Linked DNA regions of Alligator mississippiensis. The main gene of each other region encodes a partner of the protein of the gene in region 2 in a complex. Links are inferred from orthologs where the notes say so. Each region holds a gene or a part of one and is shown on either strand. Other genes may lie near its edges.

Region 1 (7,597 bases), on a different chromosome or scaffold from region 2:
GTATCTATAGACTAGGGAGTCAAAGACAGTGTCCCTTGGCTGAAGCACCAGTACCAAAACTGGAGGCAGTTAGCAGGAAAAAAAAAGGGGAGGGAATTGCTTATTGTTTCCCAGGTGGCTGACCCTTGTGCTCTATTATGCAGGGTTTACTGGAAGGAGGTGCACTATGAAGCACAGATTTGGGATAACAGTAGTGCAGGAGCCCAAAGAAACACTTCCACAGCACATTTCCTCTTACCATCTTCTGCGGTGTTGAGTTTCAGAGACTGGCCCTTGAAGCTCAGCTGCCCTCCGCCCACCTTGGTTTTTGCAAGCGACTCTGCTAACTTAGTAATGTCTTCAGATGCCATTTTTCTGTGCTTCACCAACCTTCAAGAACTGCCAGTTTTAAAAAGGAATCACTGAAAAAAAAGAAAAAAAAAACAACAACAAAAAAACATACATCTAAACCTCTAAGAAATAGCTTACCCTAGATTACAAATATCAGCTCAAAATAGCATTGCCCCTATCCCTCCACTTTTTTGGCATGAAACACTAATCTAAGTCTTGCTGTCAGGTTTTGAAAGACATTTGTCAGATGCTGTTGAAAATTCAACTCTGCAGAGAAGAGTTTAGACTTAAAGTTTAGACTGTAATGGAGTCATCAAGTTCCATAAATAAGACTGAACTGGGACTGATCTTAATAAGATCCCATTAAGACACCACTCTATTCTTGAGAGCACTCTTTCAGAATGAGAAAGGGATTACTGCTTTCTCCCTATAGCCATATCCTTTAATATTTATTAGTAACCATGATCAGTCCATCATGTTTATTTTCTCTTTAAACTAAGCTAGAATGAACATGGATACATTTTCTTTCCAGTTACATCCCTCATCCCTGCTAGTACTCACATCAGCACCTTTCTGGAATTAGACTGTTACTCAACTGCTACTAAAAAGGCAACAGTGAAGCTGGGTACAAAGGCACCTCAGGATTTTTGAAGGGCCCCTCCTAAGTGGCAGAATTTTCTTTACCACCAGTGATGTTGAAGGGGGGGGGGGGGGGGGGGGGGGGGGGGGGGAAATAGCCCTCTATGGAAGAGCCTAGTAAGGAAATAAGAATACTAGTTTAAAAACAGGTGACATAGAAACAAGTTAAGAGTGATACTGACATAAACAACCCCCAGATAGTAAGGATGTTAACTCTTATGTAATGGAAGGGCTCAGCCCAATCTGTGCAATAATAAGGCTACCACCTTAAGCAGCAGTTATGCTGCATTTTCAGTCGGTAATCTGGAGATTAGATAAGTGTCATTTATTCATCTCTTGCACCATAAATCAGGTTTCAAACAGGCTGACAGGGATAAAAGCTTACTCTAACAACTAGAAAAATTAACATCTCCAGTCAGTTCCTACCCAGCCTAGATTTTCATATGCACACAAGTTTTTGTCTCCTTAAAGCCTCTTCCCCAACACAGACTTTCAAAATTGGGCCAAACTCCCCAACTTGAGTTTGACACATCCTCTTCCTCTCCCCACCACCAACCTTCCATGGTGCTACGAAAAAGTGTTCACCCCAACACTGAAGCCAGTACCTTTCACCAGCATTCATGTATTTTAATACTCCCTCTGGACCTAGAGATGGGAAAAAGGAAGCTGGTGCCATGGGATTTGCTCAGTTTCCATCCCAATGTTTTATCAACACCAAAAAAAACTAGGACATGGATCCTTCAGACTCATGCCACTCATGCTAGTGCTCATAGAGATGGCCACTGTTTCTAGTTGCTGTGGATTTCTGTTTGTGCTGTAGTATTGCTGCTATTGTTTTTTTGCTGCTGCTAAGCTGCTGTGCTTTTGTGCTGTTTGTTTATGCTTTGCTATGCTGCTATGTTCTGATTGCTGTTGCTTTTGTTTGTGATGTCTGCTATTTCTGTTGCTGCTGCAGGCATAGAGATGGCCCAAAACACTTCACTCCTACACCAGGCCACCCAGACGCTCTGCCACCAAATTCTTCCAACCTCTGCCAGTCCAGAAGCAGATCAAACAATAGCATGTGATCCGAAAGAAAAACCAAGAGATTTTAACTAGGAACCCAGTGTCAAAACCACTCTGACATGCTGGGGTCTTTCAGAAGAACTGCTTTATTATTTTGCCATGGGGGCAAGAAACGAGTGAAGGCGAATAACTGACGATTTTCTAGGGATGCCTTGAGCCAGCTCTTCGCCTTCACTCATTGCTTGAGGCTCCCCTGGCTAGACATGGGGCTTCTCTTGGGAAGGGCCAGATCCTCATTTTTGCTTTTCTGAGGCCAGAAGAAACAGGAGCAGCAGCTGTGCTTCAGGGAACGCAGAAAGGCCACAATGCCAGGCTTTATATTGCAGATCACTCTGCAGCACCCAGTGCTACGTGCCACCCTGCCGCCCTCTCGGAAGGGCCTCAAGGCACCTGGGGGTATAGAGGGCAGGCCGTGCCCGCCCCCAGGGTCAGAAGTGCTACTCTAGAGCCTCGCACCCCGCAGCCTGGGCTCCCTGCTCCTTCCCCTCATCGGGGCAGGGCCCCTCCTCCCCTCCCACACCCCTCCTTGGAGACGTATGCCCCAGGGACCTCCCCCACCCTCGGGCTCCTCCGCCCCTAAAGGGCTCCCAAGAACTGTGGCTGCTCCAGAGCCCCACAGGGGGGTCCCACGCTGCTGCCCTCCCCCCAGGCGGGGGGGGCTGTGACGCAACAGCCCCAGCGCACGGCTGGCATGACTCACGGGGGGGGGGGGGGGGGGCGGGGCACTGCAGGTGACGCGCGGGGTGGGGGGGGAGAGGAAACCCTCCCGCACACTGGGGCGGGGAGAAGGGAATCGAGCCGTCGGCAAGGGACAGCCCCCCCGCGGGGGACCCCCGAATGGGCGCGCTGGGGCTCACCTCCACCACGCGTGGGGGCCACCCGGCTCCGACCCGTCACACCACCGCCGCCGCAGATGATGGCGAAAAGGGAGGCGGAGGATTTGAAACCCGGCAGTTTTGTTTCCCGCTTTCTGATTGGCTCCCGGGGCTCCTCGTGGCGCAGGCGCGCCGCGCTCCACACCCTGTTCTCCCCCACCCCCCTGCCGCATGCTGGGAGTTGTCGTTTAGCTGGGGCGGACTACGAATCCCGTGAGGTAGCGCGCGGGCCGCCCTGTCGCGAGGCAGGCTGGGAAGGGTAGTTCTAGCGCCCTGGTAGGACTAGGCTTCTTTGGCTCGGAGAGCGAGGAGTGAACAGGCCGAGAATCCCGCCATGCCTTGCGCACGGCTAACGCTTCTTGGCCGAATCTGGATCACGTGGTCTTGGGCTGACTGCGTGCGCACTGGGGGTGGTGCCTCGAGATTCCAGAACCTTTCCTCCCTTTTGCTCCCTCGAGCAGATGCAGTGGTGCAAGTTCCTGAGTGTTGTGCTGTAGAGCTTCCAGCACTGTTGGCTACCTGGGGCGGGCTTGTGTGTGCAAGGGCCTATTGCTGGAGGGGATAGCCCTTGTTCCCCCATAATGGGTTATGCTAAGGGTGGCTGACGTTTTGCCAGGCCCTGGGAGAGCAAGGGCCCGGATGCAAATTTAGGGGTGTAACAGCAAGGTTGTATACCCAACCGGAGCTCCCCTAGCACTGCACATTAAAGAGAACCTTAACCAGAACCAAAGCAGTTCCCATCTGCATCCAATAAAGGAGCCTCCAAAAGCTTGTGCCTCTTGGAATGAGTCTCTAAGAGACACCCTAGTCACTGGCAGAAAAACTCAAGGGAGCTACCAGCAGTCATCCTCCCTCAGGAGCTCTACCACTATACCAGCCAACCTAGCAATAAGAAGGTGCACCTTGGAGGCCCTGCTGTAGATTTTGGGTACAGGACAGGACAGGTGATGTGATGTGTCATCATCACACACAATGCAATGCACATGTTTCTCCTTAACTGGAGAAAATAGAAGTTTGACTATGCTGGGGGGGGGATAGCACTTTATTTTTCAGTTTAAGCTCAAAGCAGAAACAACTACAGCTATTGGAATGTGCACTAATTTGCTAGAGTTTATATCGAGTTTTTAAAAACAAGCAACTAGGCAAGTAGGAGTCCAAAGATACTGTCATTAGTCTTGCAGCCATCACAGTTGAATCTGCACAAGCAATGTGGATTTATAAACTAAAACTAGCTTCTGTGAGTGGCTTGCCAGTGTCTTCACTATCAGTCATTTCTACACCTGAGTTAATATTACCATACCTGAGTTAAGGTTTTTACCTAGATTTTGGGTGCAGCAGGAATCAAAGAGGGTACAATTGTACCTGCCCTGGATCTGCCTGCTATTCCTTGCTGCCAGGGCTTGCTAATCTGGTTTATGGGGCTCTGCCACCTATGCCGGCCAAAGCAGGAAGTGCTGTGTAAGAAGGACCTCATCAGAGTTACTGCCTGGGATCACTGCTCTGGCCCAGGCAAGTGCTTCTAGGGCAGGGGTAGGCAATTATTTCGGGCAGAGGGTGACTTACTGAGTTTTGGTAAGCCAGGGACAGATAAATATTAATTTTCTACATTTTTAGGGGCCCTGCGGGCCGGCTAGAATGGCCTAGAGGGCCACATTTTGCCCAACCCTGTTCTAGGGATTACTACTCTGGGTTGCTGTCTCCAGGAGATGCCCCCACTCCATTGTTACCACCAAGAGATGGCTTTTATTGCTAGGAATCACCACTTCTTTGCTGGGGCTCTTTGGGTCACCTATGCAACCTCAGCTTTTTTCAGACCCTGTTGTACTGCTACAGAAGGCTTGGGGATTTTCAGCTCTTACAACTATAAAGAGTATAAGGTTTTTGCTTGAACCTGCTATAAGGACTTGTGTTTAGAAGCCCTTTCCCTTAAAGACTTGATGAACCACAACATCAGCCAGGGAGTAACACCTACCTGGAATCTCATTCACTTTTCACACACAAATATACACACACATTACTCAAACTGAGAACCGGCCCACTGCAGAGCTTTGCAGAGGTCCCAGTGAGTGCTGTCCCTTCAGTGGCCTTTGTGTAACTTTACATTAGCAACGTGTGTGCCTACAAACTTCACAGTTGTAGAAGGCCCGTGGACACAAAATCTGATCCACCTGCCCTTGACAATTGCCCCACCAACAGGTGCAAATAGCCCTCAGAAGTCCACACATGCATACTAATGAGGGTATGCAATTAAAGAATACACAAACTTACTGTTATAGAACATAGCCATAGCCAAACATGCAGAACATAAGGTAGGTTATATATACATGGAACAAGACCATCCAACGCAGGGGGTTGGAGTGGAACAGCTCGTACGCTTTAAAATTAAACCTGAGTTTATTTCTGAAGAAGGTGGGGCAGGGCAGCACTTTAGAGACTAACTGGGTCAAAGAGGCATGAACTTTCATAGATGACAGCCTACTTAATCTGCATCCGATGTAGGAGGGAGTTGCTTATTAAGGCTTGTGCCTCTCAGAACAAGTTTGTTTCTAAGGTGTTGCGTTCCCCTGCCTTCTGCCTATCTCCAGACTAATACAACTCTCTTATTTCATGCTGCCTTTCCCCCATAGGCAAGCCATAGGAGTCAGTGCAATGATTTATATAAACTGTTGAAGGAGAGATGGGAATGTTGATGCCTGATCTAATTTGTTTGTGCAGAAGGTTGGAGACAATAACAGGAGCAGAATTGCAAACCTGATCCATACAACTCTAGTGACTGCACAGTTGCCACTTTTTATTTGCTATTTCTTAGTTTCATTTAAATTTTCTCAATTCAGGCTTGGCAACATTCAACCTGCAGGCCAGATTCAGCCTGCAAAGAGACTGGATCTGGCCTGCAGTGGAGAGCACCTTTCCCACTCTGTCATGAATTTCTCTGCTATGTGGCACTGATCCCCTCTTCAATGCCCTACCTGATGCCATCTCAGCCCTCCCTGGTTTGTACTGATGGCTGCTTTGTGCCTACTACACCTTCCATTTACCTTTGCTGCCAAATTTGACACTCCCCACTGCCACTGGTGACAGGAATCTACAGCACTCAATGAGGAGGGTAAGCAGAAGCTGCAGTAAGTGAGCTTGAGAACAGCCCTCATTACACAGCAGGGAGGGCTGGGGCACTGGAGAGGATAGGCAGCTGGCAGGGGTGGCTGTGTCACAAGCAGTAGGGCTAGCAAGATATTAATTGGTCTCCAGGTCATGTTCACAAATGTCATCATAATTCAAGTCAATAGTGATAATATTTTTTATATTAGGCAATGATCTTTCAAAATCATTACAATGTAATATACATAAATATCTCATGATGAATTAATATGACAGAGTAGACAAGCTCCTCCGGTATGTAGCGTTCCCTGAAGAAAGTGATCCATTACTCAACATTTTTTCAGTAAATCGTAAATCAGATCTCTCTACAGATCTCTGTATTTGGAAAAAAAATAATTCATTTAATATTTTGCTGTCATGCTTGCATGACAGGAAAAATGGGCATCCAGAGAACTGGTAGAATTTCTGTCACATTTAAACTTTGTTTTCCAACTCTGACTTTTGTATATCTGTGTTATTTTTTTTACAATAGAAAAGCAGTGTCTGCTACACAAGTATAAACTATGCAACAGTGTAGTTCCTGGTAAAATACACTTGGCACAGCTCTCCTCAACTTGTTCCAGTAGGGATGATCTTTTTTGGCTGCTACCCACAGACACTGACATGGGTTTTATTTCAAATGACAACTGCAGCAAACTGTACAATGAACCCAGTTGTTAGGCACAGAGATTGCTAATGGGTTGGTTGGATTTGTTCTGCTCTTTAACCCTAACATATAATGGGAACATTCCTCACATTTACTCTTGAATAACTTCACAAATAGAGGCTTTAAGAAAAAAAAAATTTTTTTACATGACTCAAGATAATAACAGCAAGATTAGACAATGCTGTGACAATTTACTATGCTCCTGAAAGCTACACATATTATGCCTGAGCAGGGCAACATAAGATCAGGCTTTTACTGGTTTACTTATCTGGGTTTAAAGGCATGATTTTTTTTTTATATCAGCAATGATATGCTGGAAAAGCATTGGTGGCTAGCGGCAAGCATGTCTTCAATCTATGAACAATCACAGAGTCACTGATATAGATAAGTATGTCAGACACCCTTCATTCTGGCTAAACAGAAGAAACAATTAAGCCTTTTTAATGAATAAAATATCCAGAATAAAAGAAGCACTGTCCACATGGAAAGTCTGAATAAGAACTAACTTGAGGTGAATAAGAGGGGTTTCCCTGATAGGTGATGGAAAACTCAGGGGTACCAACTGGATTGCAGCTGTTTCTAAAAGTCATGAAACAGATAGAAAAAAAATGCTTTTCCCTATATAGCTATAACCCTTTAAGGCACCTTTGCACCACATGACTGAGTCCACACTAGATAAATCAACTGACAGTCCCAGAATTTCCAGGACAGTCCCAAATTCTGGGGCTGTCCTATTCCTGGAATGGAACTCTTATCCTGTATTTGAAACATCAGTTCCCAGATTAGAACCCATCCGGGCAATGATCATGAACTGTTCAATTGCATGGTCCCAAACCAGACCAGCTGCCATCAGGTCCAGACAGGCATAGGTAAACTGGGTAGC
Region 2 (7,915 bases):
GGCAAAGTCTGCCTCGAGAAGTCTTGCACTGTTTTGAAGAGCAAGTCAACTTAAATGCCGTTACTATTATGTCACACCAAATGCATAAGCAATGGTCCACTGCACAAGCAACTTTGCAAAGCTGTCAAAGATGACAAAATACCTAGAAGTCTGCTGCAAAGCTAATGAATAGTGTTTGTAAAACTTACCCTGAATATAGTAGCCATCTCGCAGGCCACCAAACTTCTCCTGGCCAGCCGTGTCCCATACATTAAATTTAATAGGCCCTCTGTTAGTGTGAAACACCAGAGGATGGACTTCAACACCCAGTGTTGCTGCAATAAAACATTTCCACTTTAAAAAGCCTGCCAACAGTGTTTTAAACTAAACTAGCACTAGGATTCTCCATGCAAATGTTTAAACATACCTACATACTTCTTTTCAAATTCACCAGTCAAATGACGTTTTACAAATGTTGTTTTGCCGGTACCACCATCACCAACTAAGACAAGCTGTTGAAAGATTTCAAAACACAGATGAAGGCAACACGTTTTAGGAGCTTCCTGTAAACTACTGAGGCATCAGTCAATTTTAGGTAGTTTTTTTAAAATTACAACTCTAGGCCCTACAAGTTGTTCTAGGCAAGGAAGGTTAGTTAGACACTCACTTAAGGAGCTCCCAAATATGGCCTGACTAATATATTTTACTTCTTAGAATGGCTTTAGTGTTGTGTGCTTGTTACATGAAGTCATATTCTAGTCTTAAATTAGGTTCTGCCACTTATGCATTACTAAGTATCCAAGGGTGACTTGGTGGCAGCCTCTAAGTACTGAAGGGTTGTGCATCATGACCTGGGGGGACACCTGTTCACCAGAGCGCTAGGGATGACAAGATCACAAACTCATGCAAGACCGTTTTAGGCTGGACAGAAGGAAAAACTTATTTACTGCCTGAGCCCCCAAGGCCTGGAATAGACTCCCCCCAGGGTGGTACAAGCACCTACTCTGGACTCTTAAGAAATACTTGGATGCTTATATGCTGGGATCCTTTGACCCCAGCTGACTTCCTGCCCCTTGGGCAGGGGGCTGGACCCAATGATCTTGCAAGGTCCCTTTCAGCCCTAATGTCTATGAAACTCCAGATTAAAGGGCAGACAGGTCAGTGACTAGCACTTCCAAACTATTTTTATTAGCCTGAAGAATGCATGTTAGAACAATTTTTTCTTCTCTTAAAAAAAACAAAAACCAAAACAAAACAAAAAAACCCCAGAAATTGGCTGGGTTCGTCAATGTGGGTTAAGCACTGAAATACTGTAGTGCTAGACTGGTCCGTGTCAGCTATTGTATCTTTTGTTTTAGCTTGAATCATGAAAGGCATCAGGATGAGCTCCATTAACAGACTTCTGGCTTCCACGGCACATCTTAAAATTATTCAGGTTAAAAAGGAACGTAAATCAAGACTTGTCCCATGGAAGGCTACAAAAGCCGTGGAGAGCTTAACTCAAATCGAGATTTTTCCATGGCTTTTACAGCCTTCCGCTGGACATCTTAGTTTTAAAGGTTTATGATAAAAAAAAAAAAAAGTGCGCCAAAAAATCATGGCTTGCCCTGTGGAAGGCCACAAAAAGCTATGGAGAAGTCTTGATTTTCCATTCCTTTTCTAACACTGAAGTTAAAAAGATGACTCGTGTCTCGTGGAAAGCTACAAAAGCCATGATCATCTCCATCGTGTTCCTTTTTTTAAGGTGAACCATTAAAATTAAAGGTCTCCATGGCTTTTGTAGCCTTTCACGAGACATCTTTTTAATTGGCTTGTGTTAAAAAAAGGAACGCGATCAAGACGATCGCGGCTCTTGTACCCTTCTACCAAAGATCTTTAAAATTATTCGGGTTAAAAAAACGTCAATCAAGACCCCTCCATGGCTTTTGTAACCTTCCTCTGGACAAGTCTTGATTCATATTCTTTTTTTCAAAACCACAAACCATTAAAGATGCCCCATGGAAAGCCACAAAAAGCCACGGAGATGTTAAACTTTAACTGATTCGCGTTAAAAAAGGAGCGCGATCAAGACTCCTGCGCCGCTTTCCACAGGGCGCCCCGATGTAAAATGAGGAACGTGATCAAGACTCGTCCGGCAGCTCCAGGATGTCCCTCGAAGGCCGCAAATTGAAAGTGGGTTAGAAAAAGAAACACGATCGGGACTCCTCCGTGGCTTTCGCAGCCTCCCAAGGGGCACCTTAATTTAAAATGGGTTAAAGAAAAAAAAGAAACGCGATTGAGACTCCTCCGCGGCTCGCGCGGGACCTCCCGATTTAAACTCCTCCGGGTTACGAGGAGCGCGACGGAGACGTCTACATCCGGCGAGCCAGGAGCGTGAGGAGCACTGCGGCGTCCCCCCGGCCGCGGATGGAAAACGTGAATGAAAACGAAGAGCTAGGAAAAAGAAAAGAGCCGTACCCCTCCCCCTCCGCCCGAAAAGATAAAAAGCTCAGGGAAGAGAGCAGGTGGCCCCGGGCGGGCGGGGGAGAGGCGGCTCCTTACCTTAAACTGCACTTGGGGCTCTCCCTGGGCGGCCATGCTGGGTCTGCGGGAGGGGACGGAAGCGGAGTGAGGCGGCGGGCGATGGAGGCCCGACCGCGTGCGCCGCGCCCGCCCCTTCCGCCGCGCCTGTCCGGCCGGGCCCATTCATCCTCCTCCCGCCCCACAGCCCGGCAATGGCGGCCGCGCCCCCGCGGGCCTCCCGCCACCATGACTGAGCACAGCACAGCCGTGCCGAGCCGAGCCGCCTTCCCTCCCCCTCCCCCACTCCTCCCCCTCACCGCGGCGCAGGCCGCACTAGGCCCCGCCGCAGCCCCATCCGCGCTCCCGCCCGCCCGCCGCAGGGGGTCGGCCGTTACCTTGCCGAGGCGTCTGTCCGCGGCGCTGGGCTCCGTGACTGGACGCAGGGAAGAAGATGGCGGAAGCGCGATTCAAATACCCGGAGAGCGACGCGGCGCGGACACAGGGCGGGCGAGGGAGGGGCCGCGCTCACGTGACCGGCGCCCGCCCCGCGCATGCGCCGCGCGCCCAGCCCAACCGCCGCCTGGCGCTCGTTGGTCGCGCCCCGCCCCCTTCTCCCCCTCAGTTTTTCCCGCGCGCGGGGAGCCCGCCGTGAAGCCCCCTCAGGGCGGCGGGGTGGGAGAGTACAATCAGTAAAAAGAACTGGATCCTTTCGCCCTCTTATTTCGGCGGGCTCCTCAGACCCCCCCAGTCGTCTCCTCTCATGGCCTCCCTCCTTGTCCTTCAAGATGCTCCTTCAGTCCGTTGTGGTTGTGCCCCCCGTGCTCGTTTGATTTCCCTCCGTTGGGGAAGGGGGGCACGAAGCAATGCAATCGATAGGAGATGTCGCACAACAAGCTAGGGGGGACAGGGCACGAATGACAGGAAACTGAGGGAAAGAGACTGGAAGAATTAGGCTTTGGGTTAGGGGAGGTAAATAAGAGGATGTCAAGGCGTCCGGGTTCGTATGGACAACCGGACGGTCCTCCGCGATGCCACCCTAAACCGAACAGCAGCTCCGTGCGCGGCACCCAGCTTCAAAATGGCTGAAACGGGTTTAAGATTAACCTGGTTGCACGTGGTAACAGATTTAACTGATTCGGGTCAAGTTGGTTTAGGAAACTTTTGTCCCAGAAAACTGAGGGGGGGGGTGCATAACGCCTGCAGGGCACCTAGAGGGGGCAGAGAGACGAGCTTTTCTCCTTGACCCGAGGGCAGCGTTTCAACCGGCGGGACGTGAAGGTCACAGGCGACGTGTAGAGGGTGCACAGGGTGCATGTGCACCCCCTGAGATGGGTGGTGCACCCCTGCGATCGGCTGCCGCCACCGCCGCTAGCAGCACCGGTGGGCAGTCGCTGCCCGCCACCGGCAGCGGCGTCTGTAGGCGGTCGTGGATTGCTATTGGCCGCTGCTGGTGGTGTCTGCGGGTGGTCGCTGGCGGCTGGTCCGTGCTTGCCACCCCCACTGACACTGACACTGCCGCGGCTGCCTGCAGGAGCTCCCTGTGACCGCTGCCCATGTGTAGGTGGGACTTTTCTCAACAAAATTATTGCAATTTTTAATGTCCCTAAAGTGCGTGTAGACGTAAAAATACACTTCTTGGGGAAAAAAAGTGGGGTTTTGTTTTTATCGCGGTGGGACCAGGGTTTTTTGACAAAGTGGTTGGTGGGACGTAAGGTGCAAAATGTTGAGAGCTGCTGCCCTAGGGGACAGGACTGGGAGCAACGCCTCGAAATGCAGCAGGGAAAATGTACAGATTAGTCGGGATTTTCTGGCACTGTGGGTGGCCAAGCACTGGCACAGGCTGCCGAGAGAAATTGTGGCATCTTCATCCTTGGAAGTTTTCAAGGGCAAGTTAGACAGACACTTGGCTGGGATGGTTTAGTCAGGAGTGTTTCTGCTTTGAATAGGAGGCCGGACTAGATGACCTTGTGATGTCCCTTCCAGCCCTACTTTCCTGTGATCCTATGAAGTTTTAAAGTATTTCAGATCCCTTGGGCTGCACAAACATAGTCTGCTACTTCTTATTAACCCTATGATGTTCACTATGTTTAAAATCAAGATCTGAAAAAAGACCTTGCAGTCCGTTGCAGCTTTTGTGTGCTATAAAACTCCACTACGAATGAAAAATATTTCCGTTTTCTTTTGGTAAAATATCACAACTTTACATATTTCTCTTCCCCTGTAATGAGATCATTAAATCAAACCTTTCTTCCGAGAGCTGAGACCATAAAACACATTACTGTAGACTTAAGAGAAGTAGTAGCCCTGTTGGCCTAAAGTCAGGCAGAAGTCAGGGTGGAGATGCACCTTATAAACTAACTGAAGTGTTGCAGCTTTTGACAAGGATACAGATACTTCCAGGAAATATTTTGGTCGATCACTTTATATTGGTTAAAAGCCATTTGTAAGATTCCCCAAATATTGTTCTGAAATAATTAACTGATTTTACTACGGGCATAATAGTCACATTGTAATTAAATAAGCTAGTTAAACTTATTAAATACTTTACAATGCTTTACATATCAAGTGCAGTACTTGATCTTAATTAACAAAATACACAGTAAAAATCACAACTATATTTCTTGGAATAATAAACTGAAAAAAGTAAATGCGACTTCATCCAATCATACAGGTTGAGAGGTAGAGAACACGCAAGACTTGCTGACGAACAGGAAGGGATGTTGTAGCGCGGATTCTAAGGAGCCCCTTTGTCAATGAATAGGAACATAACGTTTCTCCTCATGGATCAGACCTGAGGTTCATCTAGTCTAAAAGGGGCCAATTCCAGACGTCTCAAAGGAATGTATAAAACGATTTTACTGAAAACCCTGGAGGACAGCTGCAGGATAATCTGCCCTTCACATATGAGGTTTCATCCTCTAATATTGATTTAAATCTTAAGGCATAAACATCCCTTCCAAAGTACTTATTATAATTAACTAGCCAATTGCCCATCAAGAATGATGGGGGGGTGGGGCTGGGATGGAGCGCCCTCACCTAACGACCCATGCTGCCACTCTTCTGCGACTTGCAGGGAGCAGGGTGGGAGAGCCAAGGCCAATGCTGTTGCCCTCAGCTCCCCCACCCTCTGTCCAATCCTCGGCATGGCTTTGAAATCATGACAACGCTCCCCCACACTTGGAGCACTCTGATTGGCTGTTTCCATCAGCCAATGCTCCAGGACCATGGTTGTCATGGGTGACTTCAATTACCCAGACATCTCGTGGGAGGATCGCTCAGCAAAATCTGAGCAGTCGCAAAGCTTCCTCTCATGGATGACCTCTACCTGACTCAAGAAGTCTATGGGCCAACGAGAGGCAAAGCGCTGCTCGACCTGGTACTGGCTACTGGGGATGACCTAGTCGGCGACCTAGTGATCGATGGGAAGCTGGGTGACAGCAACCACGAGCTGATCACCTTCACCATCCGTCAAAAAGCTGGCAAGTCAGTCAGCAACACGGAAGTCCTTGACTTCAGGAAGGCCGACTTTGACAAGCTCAGGAGGCTTGCCAGTGAGGCCCTAAGGGACCGTGACCACAGGGAGAGGGGAGTTCAAGAAGAGTGGTTGCTTCTCAAGGGAGCGATCCTCAATGCACAAACTAAGTCTATTCCATCTCGGAGGAAAGGCAGCAAGAGGGCACAGCAGCCCCCCTGGCTCTCCAGGGACCTGGCAGACCTCCTGAGGCTAAAAAGAAAGGCCTACAAAGGATGGAGGATGGGAGTCACCTGCAAGGAGGATTATTCTGCACTGGTCCGGTCCTGCAGGGAGCATACCAGGAAAGCCAAGGCTGCAACTGAACTCCAACTAGCTTCGAGCATCAAGGACAATAAAAAGTCCTTTTTCAGATATGTGGGGAGCCGGAGGAAAAGCAGGGGCAACGTTGGACCCCTGCTGAACCAGATGGGGCAACTGACAACTGATGCCCAGGAAAAAGCCAACCTATTAAATGGGTACTTTGCATCGGTCTTTCAACAGTCCCATGGGACGCCCATGCCCGCTACGGGACAGGGAATTCCGGGTGAGGGTGATCCCCTGCCCTCCATTAATGCTGACCTCATGAAGGAACATCTTGAGAAGCTGGATACCTTCAAGTCAGCCGGCCCTGACAATCTACACCCCAGGGTACTCAAGGAGCTGGCGAGCATCATTGCCCAGCCTCTAGCACGGATCTTTGAAAACTCTCGGCGCTCTGGTGTAGTGCCTGAAGACTGGAAAAAGGCCAATGTGGTGCCTATCTTCAAGAAAAGGAGGAAAGTGGATCCGGCAAACTATAGGCCCATCAGCCTGACTTCTATCCCAGGGAAGATCTTAGAAAAGTTTATTAAGGAGGCCATCCTTAATGGACTGGCCGACGCCAACATCTTAAGGGATAGCCAGCATGGGTTTGTCGCGGGTAGGTCTTGCTTGACCAATCTAATTTCCTTCTACGACCAGGTGACCTATCACCTGGACAAGGGAGAAGAGATTGATGTCCTATATCTTGACTTCAAAAAAGCCTTCGATCTGGTATCTCATGATCACCTCTTGGTGAAACTGGCCAATTGTTGCGTTGGGTCCACCACGATCCACTGGCTGGAAATTTGGCTCCGTGTTCAGACCCAGAGGGTAGTAATCGATGGAAGTCACTCATCATGGTGTCCTGTGACCAGTGGGGTCCCCCAAGGCTCTGTCCTTGGACCCATACTATTCCACATCTTCATTAATGATGTGGACACTGGAGTCAGAAGCGGACTGGCCAAGTTCGCCGATGACACCAAACTTTGGGGCAAAGCATCCACACCAGAAGACAGGCGGGTGATCCAGGCTGACCTGGACAGGCTCAGCAAGTGGGCGGACGAGAATCTGATGGTGTTCAACACCGATAAATGCAAGGTTCTCCACCTTGGGAAGAAAAACCCGCAGCATCCTTATAGGCTTGGCAGTGCTACGCTGGCTAGCACTATGGAAGAAAGAGACTTGGGGGTCATCATTGACCACAAGATGAACATGAGCCTGCAGTGCAATGCTGCAGCTAGTAAAGTGACCAAAACGCTGGCTTGCATCCATAGATGCTTCTCAAGCAAATCCCGGGACGTCATTCTCCCCTTGTACTCGGCCTTGGTGAGGCCGCAGCTGGAGTACTGCATCCACACAGTTTTGGGCTCCACAATTCAAAAAGGATGTGGAGAAGCTTGAGAGAGTCCAGAGAAGAGCCACGCGCATGATCAGAGGTCAGGGAAGCAGACCCTACGATGACAGGCTGAGAGCCCTGGGGCTCTTTAGCCTGGAAAAGCGCAGGCTCAGGGGTGATCAGATGGCCACCTACAAGTTTATCAGGGGTGACCACCAGTATCTGGGGGAACGTTTGTTCACCAGAGCGCCCCAAGAGATGATGAGGTTGAATGGTCACAAACT

What was found. The genes of interacting proteins can lie anywhere in the genome.
Region 1: the proteins of RAN (region 2) and RANGAP1 are in contact, whole or in part, in a cryo-EM structure (PDB 9B62), measured with the Homo sapiens proteins. The link is inferred for Alligator mississippiensis from reciprocal best matches to the Homo sapiens genes RAN and RANGAP1. Residues at the interface, in NP_006316.1 of Homo sapiens: Asp18, Gly20, Tyr39, Val40, Ala41, Thr42, Leu43, Gly44, Val45, Glu46, Glu70, Lys71, Leu75, Arg76, Tyr79, Asp91, Thr93, Ser94, Arg95, Val96, Thr97, Asn100, Lys123, Asp128, Arg129, Lys130, Lys132, Lys134; in NP_001265580.1 of Homo sapiens: Ser29, Gly58, Asn59, Thr60, Asp86, Thr89, Gly90, Arg91, Leu92, Arg93, Ile96, Asp121, Ala123, Phe124, Gly125, Asp127, Asn151, Cys152, Gly153, Met154, Gly155, Arg189, Asn190, Arg191, Gln217, Asn244, Asp245, Asn246, Thr247, Asp273.

The regions. Positions count from the first base shown.
Region 1 is NC_081827.1:97,402,933-97,410,529, reverse strand, and holds the start of RANGAP1 (ran GTPase-activating protein 1), read right to left. Parts: upstream 3,001-7,597; 5' UTR 2,892-3,000; intron 402-2,891; 5' UTR 351-401; coding exon 239-350; intron 1-238. UniProt on the Homo sapiens protein: GTPase activator for RAN. Converts cytoplasmic GTP-bound RAN to GDP-bound RAN, which is essential for RAN-mediated nuclear import and export. Mediates dissociation of cargo from nuclear export complexes containing XPO1, RAN and RANBP2 after nuclear export.
Region 2 is NC_081833.1:9,574,739-9,582,653, reverse strand, and holds the start of RAN (GTP-binding nuclear protein Ran), read right to left. Parts: upstream 3,003-7,915; 5' UTR 2,877-3,002; intron 2,564-2,876; 5' UTR 2,557-2,563; coding exon 2,521-2,556; intron 492-2,520; coding exon 407-491; intron 315-406; coding exon 189-314; intron 1-188. UniProt on the Homo sapiens protein: GTPase involved in nucleocytoplasmic transport, participating both to the import and the export from the nucleus of proteins and RNAs. Switches between a cytoplasmic GDP- and a nuclear GTP-bound state by nucleotide exchange and GTP hydrolysis.